3 linked regions of the Drosophila melanogaster genome follow. The protein of the gene in region 1 purifies or fractionates together with the protein of each later gene. This does not show direct contact. Each region holds a gene or a part of one and is shown in the gene's direction. Other genes may lie near its edges.

The links. The genes of interacting proteins can lie anywhere in the genome.
Region 2: the proteins of Tsp2A (region 1) and Ssk purify together in Drosophila melanogaster (affinity purification with western blotting, with the first as the bait; one study listed by BioGRID). This does not show direct contact.
Region 3: the proteins of Tsp2A (region 1) and mesh purify together in Drosophila melanogaster (affinity purification with western blotting, with the first as the bait; one study listed by BioGRID). This does not show direct contact.

What each region holds. Positions count from the first base shown.
Region 1 is NC_004354.4:1,343,826-1,350,087, forward strand, and holds Tsp2A (tetraspanin 2A), read left to right. Parts: upstream 1-2,727; 5' UTR 2,728-2,854; intron 2,855-3,259; exon of another isoform or gene 3,260-3,294; intron 3,295-3,443; 5' UTR 3,444-3,454; coding exon 3,455-4,189; 3' UTR 4,190-4,318; downstream 4,319-6,262. Other genes in the region: Naa30A (N(alpha)-acetyltransferase 30 A), read left to right, coding at 1-118; MTPAP (mitochondrial poly(A) polymerase), read right to left, coding at 1,416-2,295, 4,397-5,252, 5,319-5,421. UniProt on the Drosophila melanogaster protein: Required for assembly of smooth septate junctions (sSJs), together with Ssk and mesh. Important for barrier function of the midgut epithelium.
Region 2 is NT_037436.4:20,185,142-20,191,186, forward strand, and holds Ssk (snakeskin), read left to right. Parts: upstream 1-3,380; 5' UTR 3,381-3,570; coding exon 3,571-3,621; intron 3,622-3,850; coding exon 3,851-4,047; intron 4,048-4,178; coding exon 4,179-4,419; 3' UTR 4,420-4,638; downstream 4,639-6,045. UniProt on the Drosophila melanogaster protein: Required for assembly of smooth septate junctions (sSJs), together with mesh and Tsp2A. May be important for barrier function of the midgut epithelium.
Region 3 is NT_033777.3:31,191,856-31,198,864, reverse strand, and holds the start of mesh (mesh), read left to right. Parts: upstream 1-3,102; 5' UTR 3,103-3,148; intron 3,149-3,355; 5' UTR 3,356-3,410; coding exon 3,411-3,807; intron 3,808-4,475; exon of another isoform or gene 4,476-4,568; coding exon of another isoform or gene 4,569-5,480; exon of another isoform or gene 5,481-5,503; intron 5,504-7,009. Other genes in the region: CG1544 (uncharacterized protein), read right to left, coding at 1,730-1,853; bnk (bottleneck), read right to left, coding at 4,569-5,480.

The sequences.
Region 1 (6,262 bases):
GCGTAACCAGCCGGCTTTGCGGCTCTACGAGAACTTGGGCTTCGTGCGAGATAAGCGGCTGTTCCGCTACTATCTTAACGGGGTGGACGCGCTGCGGCTGAAGCTCTGGTTTAGATGAGTGGACCCGGCGGCTGCCGTTGAAATTGTTGTCTAAGTAGCCGCCGAAGATGTCGAGATCTGCGCTCTGCGGAGGACCAGGGCGCTCCCCTCGTCCTGGGTCCTGGCCAGCTGGCAGCTTGTATCGGCGCCCTCTTTTTTGTACCTATTTAACTAGGAAGCATCGTAGCATCAGTTTATTTTCTCCCCAACTCACACCGTCCCTTGTCTCTCTTTCATTTGTAAATTATTTTATTATGTAGCAGCAGCAGTACGAGCAACATCTGCTACATATGCAGGAGCAGCACGAGCAGCACACAACGGACCCGAAATTTGGTTAATTTTACAGGAGGCAATTTTGTATGCAATACGTGATTTACATGCATAAAATTAAGCATTAAAGTCGTAAGCAAGCAATTAGTTATGTACATTAAACAATCTACAAAAACCAATCTAGGGAATAGACAACAACATGAAGCAGCAGCGCAGCACACGCTCATCGACGCCCATTTACAAAGCTATAAACATAGTATCAAATTTTGTAAAAAGATCAATCAAAGCGATGATCGCGCAAGTCGAACGATAAACTCGATCATGTATATCAAAATAAACGCAATTGGAACCAAGAGCTGAGAACAGACACACAAAAATGCAGCCTCATATGCATACTTGTATACAAACCTTCAATGGGTGGATGGCGGTGGTCCTCGCGGCTAAGAAAACTCGCCATCTGGTCTTAAGTAACCTCTCTGTGCTCTCCAGAAACACGTAACACGTAGCGATAAGGATAAAGATGTGGTGGATCCCGAGTAACATTGAAAGAACGCAATAAAATCTTCAACAAATGCGAAAATCCTGCCTTCTGTTCTTTAGTTTAGCACAACTTGGGGAATAGCGAGCTTGTTTGGAAGTTTGTGTGGTGTTTTCCAATTGAGAAACTATATGCCAGTACGGTATTTTCGTTTTATTATCATAAAAAACAGAATTATAACTACTCGAACTAGGAAAGTATGTCTTACGGATAACTACTCATCCACAAAGTCAAATAATGACTGCTTCCTTCGGCTCTTTTTGACGTGCCCCACCGATCTTTCCCTGCCCTGCCACACTTGGTCGCATTCGTCAACAACAATCGGTTTCAATACTCAAAGTCGGATCGATCATGGACTTATCCTAACTAGCAGGAGGTTTTAAAGTATGAACAACATTCAATTCAGCCAACGGCGGCTGCCCTAACCTTAAGCTGGACTCACCATGAATGTGAAGTTGTGGCTTATCCTAAGTATGTATGTACATGGGCGGTGTCAGTCTCGGAAACATCACCTGCTTCGCCGTCGATTATTGGGACTGCTCGTCGGAACTGAGCTGCCTGATCCGCGCAGCTGCTTTAGTTCGGAGCGCGTAGCAGCCTTGATGCTCTGCACCTGCTGCCGCACAGAGGCACTCTTGTAGGTTATGGCTGGTGTGGGAGGAGTTGAGCTGGACGTTGCTCCCGCCTCCTTCTGTTCGAAGAGATCGCTCACTTCGACCATGCGCGGCTTGAAGAACATGTTCGGCCGGATGACGGCCTTTTCGGGATGCTTAAACAGGTTCAACAGGCCGCAGGAGAGCTCCTGGCCGTCGCCCTCCGGAACGGAGGCATTCTCCACCTCCGACTCCAGAACCCAAGCCGCGTTCCGCACCTCGATGCGCAGTCGTTCACACTCCTCCAGGCTAACATTTTTGCTCACATTTAGCAACTGCTCCAGTGGGTTTACGATGTACATGGCCGAGTGATCCGGCTTGGACAGCGGCTTTCCCTCGTTCAAAGATATCGCACGGTTGTGGAAGTCGAACTGCGAGTAGAACTCGAAGAACTGCAGCAACAACTCGCTCAGCGAGCTTTGGTTTCGACTCCTGAAGCCCAGACGATCCACATTCCGGGTGAAGGTGCAGTTGATCCCGTCCTCGGTGACCCGCGAGTCCCCTGGCTCCGCCGCCTTGGCCAGCGCTCCAATTGTGGGAAGGATGGGCTGGCGCAGCTGCTGCAGGAAGAACATGACCAGGCAGGTGAGCGAGAAGTTGCTGATCCAGCGACCAGGCGAGGGATTCGTGAGGCCGCAGGTCTGCGCCCAGCGCCGAATGGTAAAGGTCAACGGCCGTACGCGCGGATCCATTTCACCGAACATGTAAAGCAGTTCCGACATATAAAAGCCAGTGCTGGAAGAGGGATTGCGTTTAAAACCATCTTCTTAAAACATATTTAATGCCAACATGCAATACTGATCGCCCCAAAGGCGGGAAGGTAAAAACGGGCGTGGCCTCGTTTAATGAGACAACCAGCGGTGTGTAGCCCGCTGACCCCCACCAATGGCCGGATATGCGTGCAGCGGGTACTTATCAGGGGCGGATGAATGGGATGTGAATCATGGCCATCGGCACGCCAGGGAAGTCAGTGCCGCGGAGAGAACTGATTCACCTGCTCACCTGCGGGAGAGCAGCGTACCATTTACACATATACACGACATTTGGCAATCGCCACCTGCCGCTATCTTATCTTATCGAGCTGATGAAGCTTTCTTATCTAAGGCCGCTCTCCCTCCCCTGCCTGACTGTACGGCCCCACTAGCCTGGATGTTGTCACCGCCGCGTATCTCAGCCGAGCCGCAAGTCTGGTCAAAACGATTTCAACGAACGAGCCCAACGGACATCTGTTTCTAGTCCGCCACTGAGCTAGCTATTTTTTTCTTCCGACCCCACGAGAATCGACCCAAGCAAGGTGAATCCTAGTAAAAAGTGCCTACAAATTCCCATTTCTACGAAATGATAAATGGATGGTCCATTTTTTTTAAGTGCTATTGAAGAAGTGTTGAATTTCGGTATGGGTACCACACCCAAAAGACAGTTTCCCAATGGATAAACGTATCTACACAAAACGTCTTACAAAAGTTGATTTTAAGTGATGCTTGGAGGATGTTACTCAGGTGCACAGGGATACGCCCGCAGCTCCAGTACCTGGCCCATTTCAATACTCTTGAATAGTTTGGTGTTGCAATTGCTCGTATTAATCATCTAGTGCGTGGCTGATAACGCTATTTGCTAAACACAGCTCCGATAAGGCCAACGATGATACAGTGAACGGCGGGAAAGGGCGGGGAGAATCAACCATAAATGCCAAGCAACATCGTGATTAATAGGCGCGACCAGGGCGAGCTTTTGGTATGTGACTCAATGGAGCTCCTCGAAAATGAGCAAGGATCAATGCACCGTCTAAATAGTGCTTCTATCAAGTAGCGCCTCCTTTGTCCTGGGTTTTCAGATCACGCACTTGTCATCATCCACCTAATGATCCTTCTCTTGCCTTGCAGCTTCCGAAACGATGGGCATCGGCTATGGAGCCTCCGACGAGCAGCTGGAGAAGCAAATTGGCTGCGTGAAATACACGCTATTTTGCTTCAACATCGTGGCCTGGATGATATCCACAGCGCTGTTCGCCCTAACCGTCTGGTTGAGGGCTGAGCCCGGCTTCAACGACTGGCTGCGCATCCTGGAGGCACAGTCCTTCTACATCGGCGTGTACGTGCTCATCGGCATCAGCATTGTAATGATGGCCGTCAGCTTCCTCGGCTGCCTGAGCGCGCTCATGGAGAACACCCTGGCTCTGTTTGTGTTCGTGGGCACCCAGGTCTTTGGGTTCATCGCCATTGTGGCCGGGTCGGCGGTCCTATTGCAGTTCAGCACTATCAACTCGAGCCTGCAGCCGCTGCTGAATGTATCGCTGCGCGGCTTTGTGGCCACATCGGAGTATACGTACTCGAACTACGTGCTGACCATGATTCAGGAGAACATAGGTTGTTGCGGGGCCACCGGGCCATGGGATTATCTCGACCTGCGCCAGCCACTGCCAAGCTCCTGCCGCGACACCGTCAGCGGCAACGCCTTCTTCAACGGATGCGTGGACGAGCTGACCTGGTTCTTCGAGGGCAAAACCGGCTGGATTGTGGCTCTGGCCATGACGCTCGGCCTGCTCAACGTCATCTGCGCGGTGATGAGCTTTGTGCTTGTGCAGGCGGTCAAAAAGGAGGAGGAACAGGCCAGCAACTACCGCCGCTGAAGACCAGCCTCGTTAATTTAGTTAGTAGCGACAAGTGACCCTTCGATAGATCTAAGAATTCATACCCAGTTCGAACAATAAGTACAATAAAGATTGCGACCCTCACAAGGAAAGGTGTCTCAGCGGACGGGAATCACAGATTGCTTGCCAACAGACAGACGAATGGTGGTATAAGCAGGCACACAGCACTTAGCACATAGCACTTACAGGTTACTCATGGAGAGGTCCACCTCCAGGTCCAGATGCTCATGGTGGTACTTGATGATGGGCACCCTCGCCTGCAAAATACGTCTCACATGGCACACGCCGGGCAGGAACAGATGCAGCATATCTCCAAAACATTCCATGTGCCTTTGCGTCTGCGAGCGTCCGTTGCTCAGGTTCTCCTTGGTGTGGTACACGAGTCGCGAGGGCACCGCCGCCTCCAGTGGGATCTTAGCTCCCATATCGCTGTCAAAGCGCAGGATGAGGTCCAGGTCGCAGCCCATTCGCCCAAATCCGTTGACCGACGAGCCAAAGGGCTGTGCCTGGGCGGCGGGAAACATGCCGGCAATGGCCTGCTGCACCTGTAGGGCGGCTAGAAAGCGCATACGGATTCCCAGCTCATTCAGGCGCGTGTGCTCGTACAGCTGCTGCACCTGCTCTTCGATGTCCGCTGCACCACGTAAGAGCCCCAGTAGGTGGCGCTGATCCACCTGCCGGGTGCCGTCCAAGGATAGCAGTGCGGGCGCTGTATTGGCAACTAGCTTGGGGCTCCGTCTGCCTCCTCCCGCTGCCCGGAACCACAGAAAGGGAGATCGCACGGGCACGCCGCTCAGCTCGCCATTGGTAACGCCCGCTCCGATGGCAGCCGCCGCCTCGTCCGACGTGGCGTACTCCAGCAGGATGTAGTGCAGGGTCTCGTCCTGCCGCACGCAGTAGTGGTGGGCACCCATGATCGAGCCGAAGCTGCTGCAGTAGTTATACAACTCCTCATACGACTTTTCGGAGCTCACCTGGACCACAATGCTGCACTGGGCCTGTCGCTGATGACGGCCAATGAACTCCTCGTAGTTGGGCCTGCCTGTTGGCGAACATGGACAGTGGTAGTAATATTAAACAGAACAGATCTCGGCCAGAATCGGCTCACCTGCGTTCCGTCCGGGAGAAGCCGCCTCTGAAGCATTGTGCTTTATGCAATATGTACGCCAGAGGCTCAGCTGCTGGGCGCTGCGTCGCACTAAGCTGTTCATGGCGGGCTTGGGGTGTGGGCAGGTCAAGTCCTAGGCCCACTTGGTGTGGGTGATTTCGGATCTGGAATTTAACCGAATATTGTTGGGCTGTATTTTTGAGGTTAGGTCGAGTTGGTTATCGGTCGCGTTCGCTGGGTGTGCAGCCCTGGTCCCAAAACCGTGGCTTATTTTAGCATTCTTAAGAGTTAGATGATAACAAAACATATCATTTTGCCATCCTAAGCACATTATAGCTCCACTTTCATTTAGGCAATCACCATTAGTGCAGAGGTTTTTGCAATGCCAATCTTCCAAAAGAAGCTTATGCATCCCTGAAAATCTATCGATTACTCTAGGTGGCGCCAAACTCAAAAGTTTGTAATTTCATAAACTTTTTATTTCACGTCCCAGTTATTGTGTTATTATTGTTATTATTACATGCGGGTTTTGCCGTGGGATGAACGGGCTTCGTAAAACTAGGTTTAATTAGACTAAACACGTACAAAAGGGACACGATTGGGTATATTTTTTAAATATACGTTAGTTAGTCATCTTCCTAACACTCCTGGATCGGTTACATTAGTCAATCAACGTGAGGTGTATATATCGGATATATGCGAGTGATATATATACATATATTGGGTGTATATAGAGTGCGGTTATTGCTGATATCGTATGCCGAGTGAGTGTACGCGGGTACAGGTTTATATATATTATCAATTAGGACTGTTATTGTCCACCGACATGGTAATACAGGATTATAGCTTAGCTTAGGTGTTGTTTGTGTTATGTGGCTCATTCTTGTGTTCTGTAACAATTTCATTGTGCTCTGTGTGCTGTGTGTGTTGTCGTCTTAAATGCA
Region 2 (6,045 bases), on another chromosome or scaffold:
AAACCGCGTTGACAGCGCGGCAAAAATCGCGGACGCGAGCAAAAGCAAAAGCTGGTGTCAAAGGTCGGCGCTCCGCGGTCCGATTTTGGGTCATCCGCACTGTGGGACGGCTGCCGACGAACTGAGGCGACGACACAGCCATCAGCTCGTTTAAAGGACCCCGAAAGCAGCGGAGAACCACTGGCACAGCACTCGCCTGATAAGGATAACGACACGAAGCTGCACTTCGGCAGTCCTGGTTCGGCCTGGTTAAACAAGGCGGCCCTGTCATATGCCTAGGCCCACAAAAAGGTCTATGACTGTATTGCCACAGTGGTGTTTCGAAAAGTAGAGCTGGAAACTTCAAATAGCATACAAATAGAAAATCAAAGGAAATCGGATTTTGAAAAATCTAATTTTGTAAATATCCTTTAATATTACATATAATTTGCACGGTACTGGAAAGTTACAGATCAAATTACAACTAATAGAGTTCGCAAATCAGTGCAAACACCAGATATTTTAATTAACTTGAAAAGAAAACTACATTTACTGCAAGTTCATAGGTTATATTGCACTTTTTATAAACACTGCCAAGTTAATATTTTTGCCTCGTCTGTGAGTTGGTGCGTTTAGTATTCTATGAATATGAATACAAGCGTTTGGCAAATGTCATAAAACGCCGGTCAAATACATTTTCTTCAATTTGCAAATATTTAGGGGTTGAAAAGGATGTTTGTTCAACGCAGAACGTTTAGATTAATTGAAAGTCAAGTGCTAAATAACTCATAAATCGCTTAAAGTTTTCAGCTCTGAAGCATATGTACAATATAAGTTTACCGCAATATTTAGAGTGGCGAAAACTTTTAAATTTTGATATAAATCTCTCTTACTCTCACTTTTACCTCTCTCTCTCTTTCTCGAGCTTTGTGCGCAAAAGTAAACAAACGCAACTTTCATTCATAAATAGCAACAACGCAACCGGCGAAATCGAATCAAACTGATAATCAAAACAAAACCGAAAGCTCTCCAAAGCAGTGCTCTTCGTAATTCTCTGACTCACTTTTCGACTGTCTAGCGAATTAATTTAAATACGCCCACTAAGATTGAACTGAAATCTCATTACCAAATCGCCGTCACACCTCATTGACGCCAGTCCAAGTAAGGCAGGTAAGTTTCCCCAAAAGGTGTGCAAGTGGTCATAAGTTACTTACTGCTGTCTCTGTATCTGTATCTGAGGAATATTCTCGCTTGACATAGACTTTACAGTGCTGTAATGTAATGCCTGTAAAGCGTCGCTGTAGGAGTCTGGCTGCTACAGAACCATGCTGCAAGTGCGCTTAAGTTTAAGTTCTGACCAGTCGACTTTTTCACAGCCGAAATGCGAATTATATATATATATTATAATTATATATATAATATATATGTCCAATCTATACATATTGATTTCGTTTCGGTTCGCTCTACAAGTACTGAAGCATACATACATCGTTTATTTATGTGTGCTATCCATTGAATACATCTCAATCACTTTAATATCGTGACGCTTGAAGGCACACGAAAGCTGATAGCTACGAGGCGATTCGCTCTTTATTCTCTTCTTACTTAATTAAGAGAGGCCACCACACGAGAACTGCACTTGTGTTGGTGTAAGTTGCATGCCGGTTTTTGTTGTTCTGACGCCGATTTTTCCCCACCTCTCTGAATGCTTGATGATTCATCGCAACAAACCAAATGCAGAGGAGACAAATTCCAAATTTAACGTCGCTTGCTTTCTGGGACTCCACATGGGGATTTGAGAAGTGGGGAAGAATCCGCGGTGCTGAGCGGCATTCGCAATGGGGGAACGAAAACAAAGAACTCGACAACCTTTGGCCTTGATTTGGGAAGATATTCCTTTGCTTATCCAGGCATCAGACAACTTGCATTTAAAATGGAAAGCAGATCTATGTAAATAAATCAGTATCCATGTACCTTGCTCAAATTTAATTTTATTACCTTTAATTAAATAAATCTTATTCAATTACTTGTTTTCCCTAAGCAAATACTATTCTTAAGGCATTCAAGCACGTTTAATCACATTTTAAAAACTTGTATACAAAAGAGACAATTTCCGCTAAAACAACATATTTATTTTGAAAAGCTTAGGTTGGAAAGTTAGTTGTATGCTAAAATTAAATTTTCTGAAATGAAATCCAATAATACCCTCGGCACAGCGTAAATAATACTTGTTTATATATAGTACTCATGAATATCAGTGTGTATACTTGCTACTCAATGCGGGTCATAAAAAAAACCCTTGATGAGGTGTGATCTCATGTTTGTTCCATGTTCTGAACTTATGATTTATACAAGCACATTTTAATGTCGGCCTTAAATACAAAACACAGGGCACGAGGTGCCAAATGTGCAGTATAGTTAATTTCCCACGCCCTCCAAACTTATGCAATTATTCATTTGTCCAAAAACCATATGCATCCATTTTCAATTAGTTTTTAAACATTGAATTTAGAAACAAGGGACTGTAACTATTTCTAACTAAGTTCTTTCTTTTCTTCGTGACCTGAAAATTGTTTGCTTTTCATGTTACACAGTGTTCTTAAAACGCACCATTCATCCAAGAGTTGTATTTTTATACACCATTTTACTGTGATAAATAGGCAATATGTAAATCGAGGAACCCCACATCAACCGCAAGTTGCTTTTTTGCTCCCCAATTGCTCCTATCATTTTGCATTGTGCTCTTCCAATTGATTCGAAATCTCGAACATGGGCCACCTACAGCCACGATTATTGTGCTAGGGTTGTGATAATTGAAATGCAGATTAGGTTCCAGTGACTTTTTGTGTGTCTGAGACTTTTTAATCAGTAGCTGGAATCCACTGGGCTATCGATCATCGGAATCGTGACAAGGTCAGTGAATTTTTAATCTGTTCGAGGGATGCACCACCGGGAGCTTTATCAGTGGGAATGGGAATGGGTCACCACGAAAGTATTTCAGAAATACATCGATGACGCAAGAATAATTGTTTCCGGTCTCTCAGAGCCGCGGGTATGTTTCCCCGTTTTGTGGCTTTGTGGCCGCCATGAATAATGTGTAACAATGCTGTGGAAAGCGGCAAATCGGAGCACCTGATATATCGCGATGTAAGGCGACAGAGCTGCGATAAGGCCGTTTTGATAAGATACGCGGGTGGGGCTGGCGCATGCGCATCTGGGTTTCATTGGGCTTCGGAGCCTGAACATGTTGAACCGTCAACGAATTAGTAACCCATTTCGAACGGCACCTGTTATCGTGAGCCCTATCTTATCTTATCGCTGACCGTGTATGCTCTGATTGCAAAAGCTACAAATTCTTGGCGACACGACGAACTGGGCGCGACAGGTTGGTTGGTTGCCTTTCAGTGATATTTTTCAGTTTAGTCGACGAACGACAACGATACGAAAACGAATCATTTCGCTGTAGTTTCCGCGTGAAAATTACAGAAAAGATTGTGAGTGCCCCTTGACTGGGAGAAACCCCTCTGTGAACTAAAGCATTTGCCCAAATTCCAGCTCAGCGATAAGAGCAATCAGCATATCTAGTGCGAAATGGTGTCCGTGGAGACTGTAGGCTCTATTTTCATCAAGGCCCTGAAGCTGGTAAGTTTTGGGCTTCTTTGGTCCCTTCCTATTGAGCAATAGCCTGTTTGTGGTCGCAATAACTCGGCTGATAGATAAGCGCGCGTTTTATCAGTCCTGGCGTATTAGCAATGTTACTCATACGCCGAGTTGTACGGCAAGGCGAGGCGTGGCCAAGAAGTGATTCATTCATTCCCATTCCCAATTGTGACCTCATTTAATTGCTCTCCTGTGCGCTCCTTTTTCGCAGATCATCAATCTGGTGATCATCTTCTTGTACCGTTGGGGCGATGGTGGCGAATTCCTGGGCATCGGCGGCACGTGGAACTTAAACGAGGAGAAGAGCGCCGATGCGGAAATCGTAGCCTCAGGCGTCATGGTTGGATTCTTGATTTACACTGGATGCCACACCATTGCCTTTGCCTTCGGCACAACCAAACATAAGGGGTATGTTGAATGCCGATATTGATTATAGCTGAACTTTGACCCGCATCTTATTCCTTTTCTTGTATTTTCCGCCCTTAATTCCACACTCTCAACTCACAACTGTTTGTTTTCAATGGCTTTCCGTTTTTCAGAGAGCTGTGCGACACCATCATGAACGTGGTTGGCTGCATCATGTGGATCGCCGTGGGCGGAGTGGCACTCCACTACTGGAAGGGTTACATGTCCGACGAGGGATTCCTGTATGTGAACTCGGAGCGTCAAGTGGGCATTGCCATGGGCTCGCTGTGCGTTATCGAGGGCGCACTGTACCTGCTGGACACCGTGTTGGCTTGCATACACTATTCGAAGGGCGACACCGACTACACGCAGTAGAAACTGAATAGTGGGGATACCAATCGCAGCCGCCGAATAAACACCATCCACATTTGTCTTTATACATAGATCGATTTAAGTGCAAATTAGTTATTATCCGCAATCAATTATCAACTATACGTTCGTAAGGGTCAATTGTCGCTGTACTATACACTAACTGTTTACAATTTTCATTCACGTTTAACATCCTTAAATTGGCAAATACAAATAGTTAAGACCACGCCACGGATAAAAGTTTTTGTGCATTTGGGAACTAATTAAGGGGATGCAATGGAATGCCACTTACTAGTAAGTATCAATTGTAACCTAAATCAACTAATTACCATCAGAACCCATTGATCGTGTTGCTCAGTTTCTTTTTTTCTGATATCATTGCAATTAATGAAAGATTATTTATATATATCATACATCATACGTAAGCATTTTGCTAATTTTTGTCAAAAAACGACAACTTAGATTTGTTGACTAAACTTTTCGACTTTAAACTAACACCCAATCGAAATTTCATATTCCAAGCGATCTGATACTGATATATTGTAATTGGTGAGATATTTCATTTGTTTTTAGTACTAGTACTAGAGAACCTATTGCTCTCCAAGAACCTAATATTCTTTTAAAGAACTTGATGGAAAACTAAACTAATTGTTTAGGAACTGATGCACACAGGAAAAATGTCAGACGATTCGCAGAATTTGGTATATATCACTCATTTCTTTGCTGAGAACAGAGTTCATGAGTTGTTCAACCAAATCGATGACGCTTCAAGACGAACCTCCTCTGGAACCATGAAACTGCAACTTCCGGTGCAAATCGAAAGCGTTCAACGAAGCATTGATAAATCGGAATAAAGCCCTATATTTATCGGTCAGCTATACGCAGAAGTCTTTATGGCAATGAGTCAAAGATTAAACGGTACAGTCAAAACTACACACATTACGTAAATGCATATGGTGTATAAATAAATAAAAAAAAAAGGTTAGTCACCCTTAACTTTGCAACTGAAGAACTTATAATATTTGAATATGATCATCTTTTTTAAAATCTTTCAATAAGATCAAATCTTGCGTATAAATTAACAAGAGCTGAGCTCAACTCACCTGTTTTCCTGGCTTCCCCCGCCCGTCCACTGCATCCCGTTCCCGCTGCTGCTGCTGCTGCCGCATGCTTCTGCTCCTCCAAACGCCCGTCATACGGAAGAGGCACCGCAGGTCCACCGAGCCGTCCTCCAGATTGAGGGCATCGAAGAGCACCGCCTGATCATGGATGAAGGAGTTCCGCGTGCGCTGATTCAGCAGATCCAGGGTTCGCGAGTCCAAGCTCTCTCGATAGACATTATGTACGCGGTCCAGATTGTGCTCGTAGGCGGTGTCCAAATTGAAGGCACTGTTCAGGCTGGCCATGCTGCTCCTACCCTCCAGCGAGGTCTTGCTTCTGCCCTCCAACGAGGTCTTGCTCCTCCTGCGGCGCATCACCACCGTCCTGACCGACTCATCCATAGATGAGCCAAGGTGGACGGAGGTGCGCGAGTTGTCGCCCAGCGGAGAGGGCGAATGCGAGTGGGCCAGCGCCGAAGGCGGCAGCGGCAGCTGGGTGGCGATGGTCACCGGCTGTTCCGCCAGACTCATC
Region 3 (7,009 bases), on another chromosome or scaffold:
ACATATATTCTTATCATATACATATATCGTTAGTTATTCCAGTTAGCAGATTTACATCGAATTTAAAACTATAGAGTGTACCACGACGTTTGTGCTTCCCGATGGCAAGCAATTCGTGCTACATATGAGAAATTACGATTGTTGTTTTTATTGCCTTTGTTGGGATATTTTATTCCCTGGTTGAGCCATTGACAACTCGTTGGCTGCTTAGGTGTTTACGTGTTAAAGTGTTATCCTGCTTACAGGATTTATATGCGATGACGCATATCACTCGATTACAGTACCCTGAAAATTCGAAATCCGTGGGACAGCTGGCATTTGCCAGTTAGACCGACCCCAAGTCGTCCTCAGAAATTTATGCAATTTCTCGACGGCATTTCGGCCATAAATCAATTTAATGTTAAAGAGTAGGTCGCTTGGACAGGAGCACAGGGTGTATGATGAATTGTATTTGCGGTGACAACATTTCAGCTTGAGCGTGTAAATATTATTGGAGCACAGCGGCGCGTCCTTTGCCAAGGATAATGATTGCCCTGACAGAAATGCAGCCAAAGGACGAACGGCAAACAAGGCGAATTATACCGATACTACACTGAGGCAAAACTAACGCTTAAAGTCAGTTTTAGTACGCTTTACCATAATTCAAAATACTGGTCAATTGGGTTTGCTTTAGAATATCTAACATACTTTTCCAAAGCCTGAGTAAATCCTAGACTTGATTTTCTCTATGTGCATCATCCTAGGCGCCTGATGTCACATGGTCAAGCGTTGAAGGCTTTCCTCTGGTGCCCAGTCAAAGGCTCCTGGCAGACTATCCAACTACCAACTACCAACTGGTGACTGGTGTCTGTTGGCCATGGTGTCGATAAGCCCCAATTGTGTACGCAACGGATGCAGGACAAGCACAAAGAAGCTCCCGTTTTGGGGTCCTTTGTTTGCCGGGCTTTGATATTTAGCCGGGTCCTTTTTGGACTCCCTGCCGTGCGTTTTGGGAAAAGATATAGTATCTCTGCACTGGACATCCGCCTCTCTTCACTTAATTAGTGCACTGCACGGGGGGTCTGCCACAATCTCCTCATTCTAATTATAAATTCGGGGTACTGGGTGTAGCGCCATATATTTCGGGTTTATCAGATTTCAGAGTGAAAACATGTGATAAGCTGAGAACGTGGAGATTAGCTTGGGTAGGTAACAGGAAAGACGGTAACATTAAAACCATAAAAAATATTCCACCAGTCAACAGGAGCTGTTCTTTCTCGATAGTATGAGAGGCATAAACAATGAACTTCAATTTAAAAAATATTTTGCGAAATTAAGTTAAACCTGAAGTTAGTGAAAATAATCCTAGGTATCCATACGTATTCCCGTATATACCCTCCGATTACAGGGTATACAAATGATATATCTTCTTTAAACTGGTTTTCGAATTCACCCACAGCAATTTGCACTTGATCTCTTGTTCAGGCTGTTGTTTTATTGCAGTTTCTGCGGGGATTGTTGTGGGTCAGCTGCTTGAATTCCGCTGATAAATAGCCGGCTGGAAAATCCGACACGAACGCACACACACGCACACAATGTCACTTCGTCGGTTTTTCTTTTTGCTTGGGTAGATTTCCACTGCCCATTCATATGAATGTTTGATCCCGAAAGACTCTTATCGATGCGATGGTTATCTCGACGGATGAGGTTTTTATTGAAGTCTTGGCAACACACTTGTTTACAACCGTACCTTGAAATTCACGCTGGGCAATCGGCTTATAGCCCCAAACGCCCTTTTCGCTGTGATAGCACCGCGATTGTGGGCGTGGCAGTTTTGCGATTCCCGCCTCCGAAAGCGCCAGATAACGCAGCATGCTGATGGATTAAAAACGAGGCGTGTATGCCGGATCACCTGATAAGTTCGCAGCGAAATCGCGGTCTCTTCTCGCCGCCGTTCGACCCAGAACTAAGGGCAATTCACTTTTGTTTGAAGCCGGGACCCCCATATTCCAAATAAACTAAATTGCTGATAAGCTGGGAAATAAACCGGGAGAGAACAAATCCCTCCGAAAAGTAGTGCCTACTTTTGGGCTGGTGGTGTGATATGATCGCTGTTAATTAACAGAGCGCTTGTTAAACACATGTATGAGATGATAATGAATTTCAAAATAGTTTCTTATCAGTTAACTAAAGCTGATAATGCAACAGGTTCGTTGGCCAATAATGGATTGCCTTTGAGAGAGGGAAGAGTTGTATCCATTAAATTAGTCATACATATGCTCAGGAATATATTGAAATGAACTGTACCATAGTTAAAAACATTTTTATATTTATATATATATTTTATACATAATTATGCTGTCGTTTGTTTAAAAGATATATGGGGTACATTTTCAACACCAATTTTCCCCTAACAATAACCACTATAAAAATATATCTTATCCTTCGATTTTTATTATAGCAATGTTTATCTGCATTATTGTTTTATAATACCCTTTTAGTCACACAAGTTGATCCTCAAAACGCTTTGATTTTATTAATTTGGAGTTCCCCACTCTGCACTTGATTTCTTCATTAATGAGGACCATGACACTTTCATGTCCTAATGAAATCCATCAGTAGGCTTTTTTACGGGCGGCTGATATTCATAACTCTAAAGCTTCATCGGAAATGCCTATTAATGGTCGGTAATGGGTCATTGTCTATAATTAAACCGGAAGCGTGCTCTCATCAATTTCGCATCACACACATACATGTTTAGGCTTTACAGCCCATTCAGCTTTTCACAAAATGGCCGCGTCATGAGTATGATTAACTGTAATGGAAGTGAATCACAAATCTGCCAGAGACCATTGTCAACAGAGAGAAATATAGGTAACGGTCCCACGAATGGGCATAAACAAATAGGTTGGTAAATTTGGAGCACAGAGAAGAGAGTGAAGCTTCCCGAAAAAGCCAAGCGGGCCGAAGAAGGAATGCGTTATCGGTGCGTAGTATTCCATTGATAAGATATGCCTAGCTTTATCTGGCCGATAAGGCAATGTTTCACAATCGAGTAGACGGCGACAGGTGAACTGAGTTTTGGCAACGCCCCGATCGGGCCGTTAGAGTTAACTTAACTTCAGTCTTAGCTGAGCGGCTCGCTGCAACGAACGTGTTTTCCTGCCTGGTAATTAAAGTTAAAATTGAAAATTGGTGACAAGTGATAAGAGAACTGATAAGCCATTGCCTTAACTGATGATGTCATCAAGTGAAAATTGTTAGAAAATGAGGATATCAGAGGAAAAATAGTGTACAAATTCGCATGAATTGAGTGCTTATTGAGTGATACTTTTATTGTGGATGCCTAATTGATGCCTTTGTGTTTTTCTTTTAGCAGTGAAACGAAAAAACGAATTACCAATTAAGTGACAAATCGAAATCAAGTGAACATGCGTTTCAAACTGTTTGTGGTTTGTGCGCTGGCCTGCGGGTTTATGGCCTTTGTCCTGGCTAACGAGAATATATCGACGGAGGAGTTCGAGGATCAAATAATCAATGCAGTTCCGGAGCCGGTCAAGGTGACTAAGCCCAAAGCTCAGGCGGAATTCGTTGAGGTTCCAAAGGCCACGCCCGCTCCCAAAAAAGCGGAAGCGGACAACCCGAAAACCAAACCACTGGCCCTGCAGAAGCCCACTCTGATTCCCGTGGTGCATGTCAGCAGTCGGGGAACAGATGATATCCTCACCGTCGCGGGACTGAAGCCCGAGAAAATGTTCGGAGCCCTCATCATGCCAAATGACTATTTGGGGGAGCTGTACGACGTGGACAACAGCGGCTACAATTGGGGTGAGTAGGTTTCGTTGTCCCTGGGCTGATTCAGTTCCACCCCATTACTCATACGCCGCGTTGACTATCTTATCAGAACAGCTCAGTGGGTTTCAGTTTGGTTTAGTTACCAATATTTGCTCGATAACCTGTGTTCGGGCATTCAGGTGTAGGTGCTGTAAGCCCCTCTCTCTCTCTCTCTCTCTCTCTCGCTCTGTGTTCTTCCCGATAAGATAATGCCCCAGGTTGAGGCATTAAAAAGCTAACGGTTTCTTGTTTTCCGCTTCGGCAAACAAAACAGGTGCGTGGTGGCATAGTGAATATACGCATATGTATGCACACGAATATAGGTGTGGACACGGCGGACAGCGGGAGCACGGAGTCTTGCGTGATTCAGTTTACAACCTGTGGTAGTGTGTGGATTTAGCAATTCTGTTTTATCAGTCCCCTAGAACTGATATATTGGCTATTCGGAATTGGAATTTTTGCCGTATTAGTCACAGTCATTTGTTAGAATGTAACTGTGTAATAAAAAAGGGTTTGGTCAGAAATAGAATATCGAAATATATATGTGGAATTACTCACCGATTGCAAAGGAGTAATGGTTTAAAAATATTGTAATATTTGTAATGCCTCACTTGCCAAGAACAAGACGCTTACATTTTGTTTCATATATATATTTATATTTTATCTTATATTTGAACTGTCTTTAGAAGCTTAGGCTAACTTATAACTAAAGTAAGGCAATCCTTTGGAACTTACAATTAACCTAGTTTCTGGACCTAAGCACTCATCGAGATGCGCTGCTCGTACTCCGCGATGCGCAATCTCACGGGAACCACTAGACTGAGGTCCTCCATGATGGCGTGGTTCTGGGTTCGTACTGAGGCACTGGAACTCTGGCGGGAGATGGTGGCCCTCGACTTGTCCATCGAAGGCTTGCGGCGCAGGGAGCACTTGCGCTGGCTGCCCCCCTTGCCCACGCCCATGGCTGGTACATGGGGAGTGGCAAACTGGGCGGTGGTGGCCGACAGTCTCTTGGGCTTGGGTGGTGGCACTTGTCCGGTCACGGAACCACTGAGACTGTGGTCGCTGCCCAGGAAACTGTTGGCGGTGCTGCTGTTGGCGGTGGTTGTGGCAACGTTTTGAGGACGGGCGGTGCGCAACATGGCTATGAAGCGGTTGTTGGTGGAGCTTGCTTGGGGCATCAGCTTGCTGAAACCCGACTCAAAGGTGTTGGTCAGCTTGTTGAAGAAGTTGATTTTGTCGGTGACAGTGGGTTCCTGCTGCTGATGCTGCAGTTCCTCCTGTTGCAGTGGCTGTTCCTGTGGCTGTCGCTGTTCCTGCTGTCGTGCGGTTTGTGGTTTCTCCTGGCCATTATTTCGCTTGGACATTTCCAGCACTTTTTCCCTCAACTCCATGGACCAGCGTTTCTGGGCCGTATGCAATTTGGGTCGCAGTGGGGATATGCCATTACCCGGCTCCGTTTTGGCCAGTTCCACGGCCAGTTGGCTGGTAAAGCGCGGCTTGGGCGTGGAGGTGATGGTGGGCTGGGCGGACATGTCCTCATCAATGTCCATTTCCAGTTCGCTGATGCATGAGGACGAGGAACGGGAGGCTGTGCTGCCGAATCCCGGTGAGGACGGGCTAAGCTTGTAGTTGTAGAACTGGAAGTTGAAAGTGCTGATGCTCATGTTGACGGTTGAAGTACGAATGTGCTGTTGAGACCAGGAACGCAGACCTTATATAGGTGCACTTCTAAAGACTACCTGGTCCAGTTTTCACCCCCGGCAGCTGGTGCCAAAAGTTCAGGTAGCCGATCCCGATAGGCGATACCCAGCCTAACTTAATTCCGGGAAACTACCTGAGATCACTACCTAAGCTATGAAAGTAAAAAAGGAAGATTTCTCAAAGGAGCGATTTCCCGGTAATTGCAACCCGAACACGCGAGTTTTGCGTGTTTTCCGCGCACCAATTTTTGGCAAAAGACTGACGGCTAATCCGCACACTTTTATAAGGACCACCAAAAAGGATTAGCGAGGGTATCGAATCATAAATAGCTTAAAAACATTAAACGCGACAGATGTTCAGGGTTTCTACAAGCAATCCGCTGGGGTTTATGGCCACTTCACACTGTTGACGTTTCATTACCTGGCTCGTTAAAATCAAAATCAATGCAATTAATGATTCACCCGACACTCTGCAATTCACAGCCGACAAAATAATAGAAGGAAATGAGGGAAATAAAAACGGTGTTATACATTAAGCATACTACTGCAATTTCCATATATTCAAAGAGAAATACGCAATCAAACTCAGATGGAATGGGAAAATATCTGTGCAAAAGGCGAAATGAGGTGTCAGGATCGTAATGGGGTTCATTAATTAATGGAATTATAAATGAAGCTTAAATTGTATGTAAGGAGCGGGTTCCATTGAAATAACAACTAACTTAAATATTAAAATTGAATTTGTGAAATAGAATTCAGGGAATTCAGCTGGGATAGGCACGAAATGAAAAGTTAAAGATGCTGCAAAGTAGACTGTGATACCTGCACTGCCCACTAATATTGTTTCTGTAAAACAAAAGACAATTAAAGTATTTATTAGTTAGCTAATTGAACTATAGAAGTACAAGACAAAGCTTAAAAATATTAAAGTATTCCTGCAAAATGCAATGAATGTCAACCGCTTTTGGTGCAACCACAACTCTCCAGGGATGTCAGGAATATTTTGAAATCTTTCCCGGGACTTCACCACGAAAACTTCGCCAGCAATTTAAGTTTCTGGCCAGCGTCAGGAGCAATATCCTTAAGCGGATCCTGGGTTCTTTCATGGGCACACGTTTGCAGTGTCCATTGGGAACGTCAGCTTTGCACTTAATCAGCTTAAATTGCTTTAAAAGGCCAGCGGTGAGGCGAAATTAGGAAAAAGGGGCCAAGAGTAGCAGAGAAGAAGGAAGACAGCAAAGTTTGCAGCGCAGAAATGAATATTAACTGTGACCTTTAATGGCCAAGCACCCGGAACGGGAGCTGCAAGGATGTGGGTGGCAAAGTTGCAGCCGGAAAATGCAAAAGAGGCCAGGAAAAAGTTTTCTTTCACTTTATGCCTTGCAACGCAGCAAGTGCCAGGGATAATATTGTGGAATTGAAAAAGTAATCTCGCCGGATTAGGTGTGAAATTATAATGATAGGCCAGAGCTCACCTCTCTAAGCTATTTGTC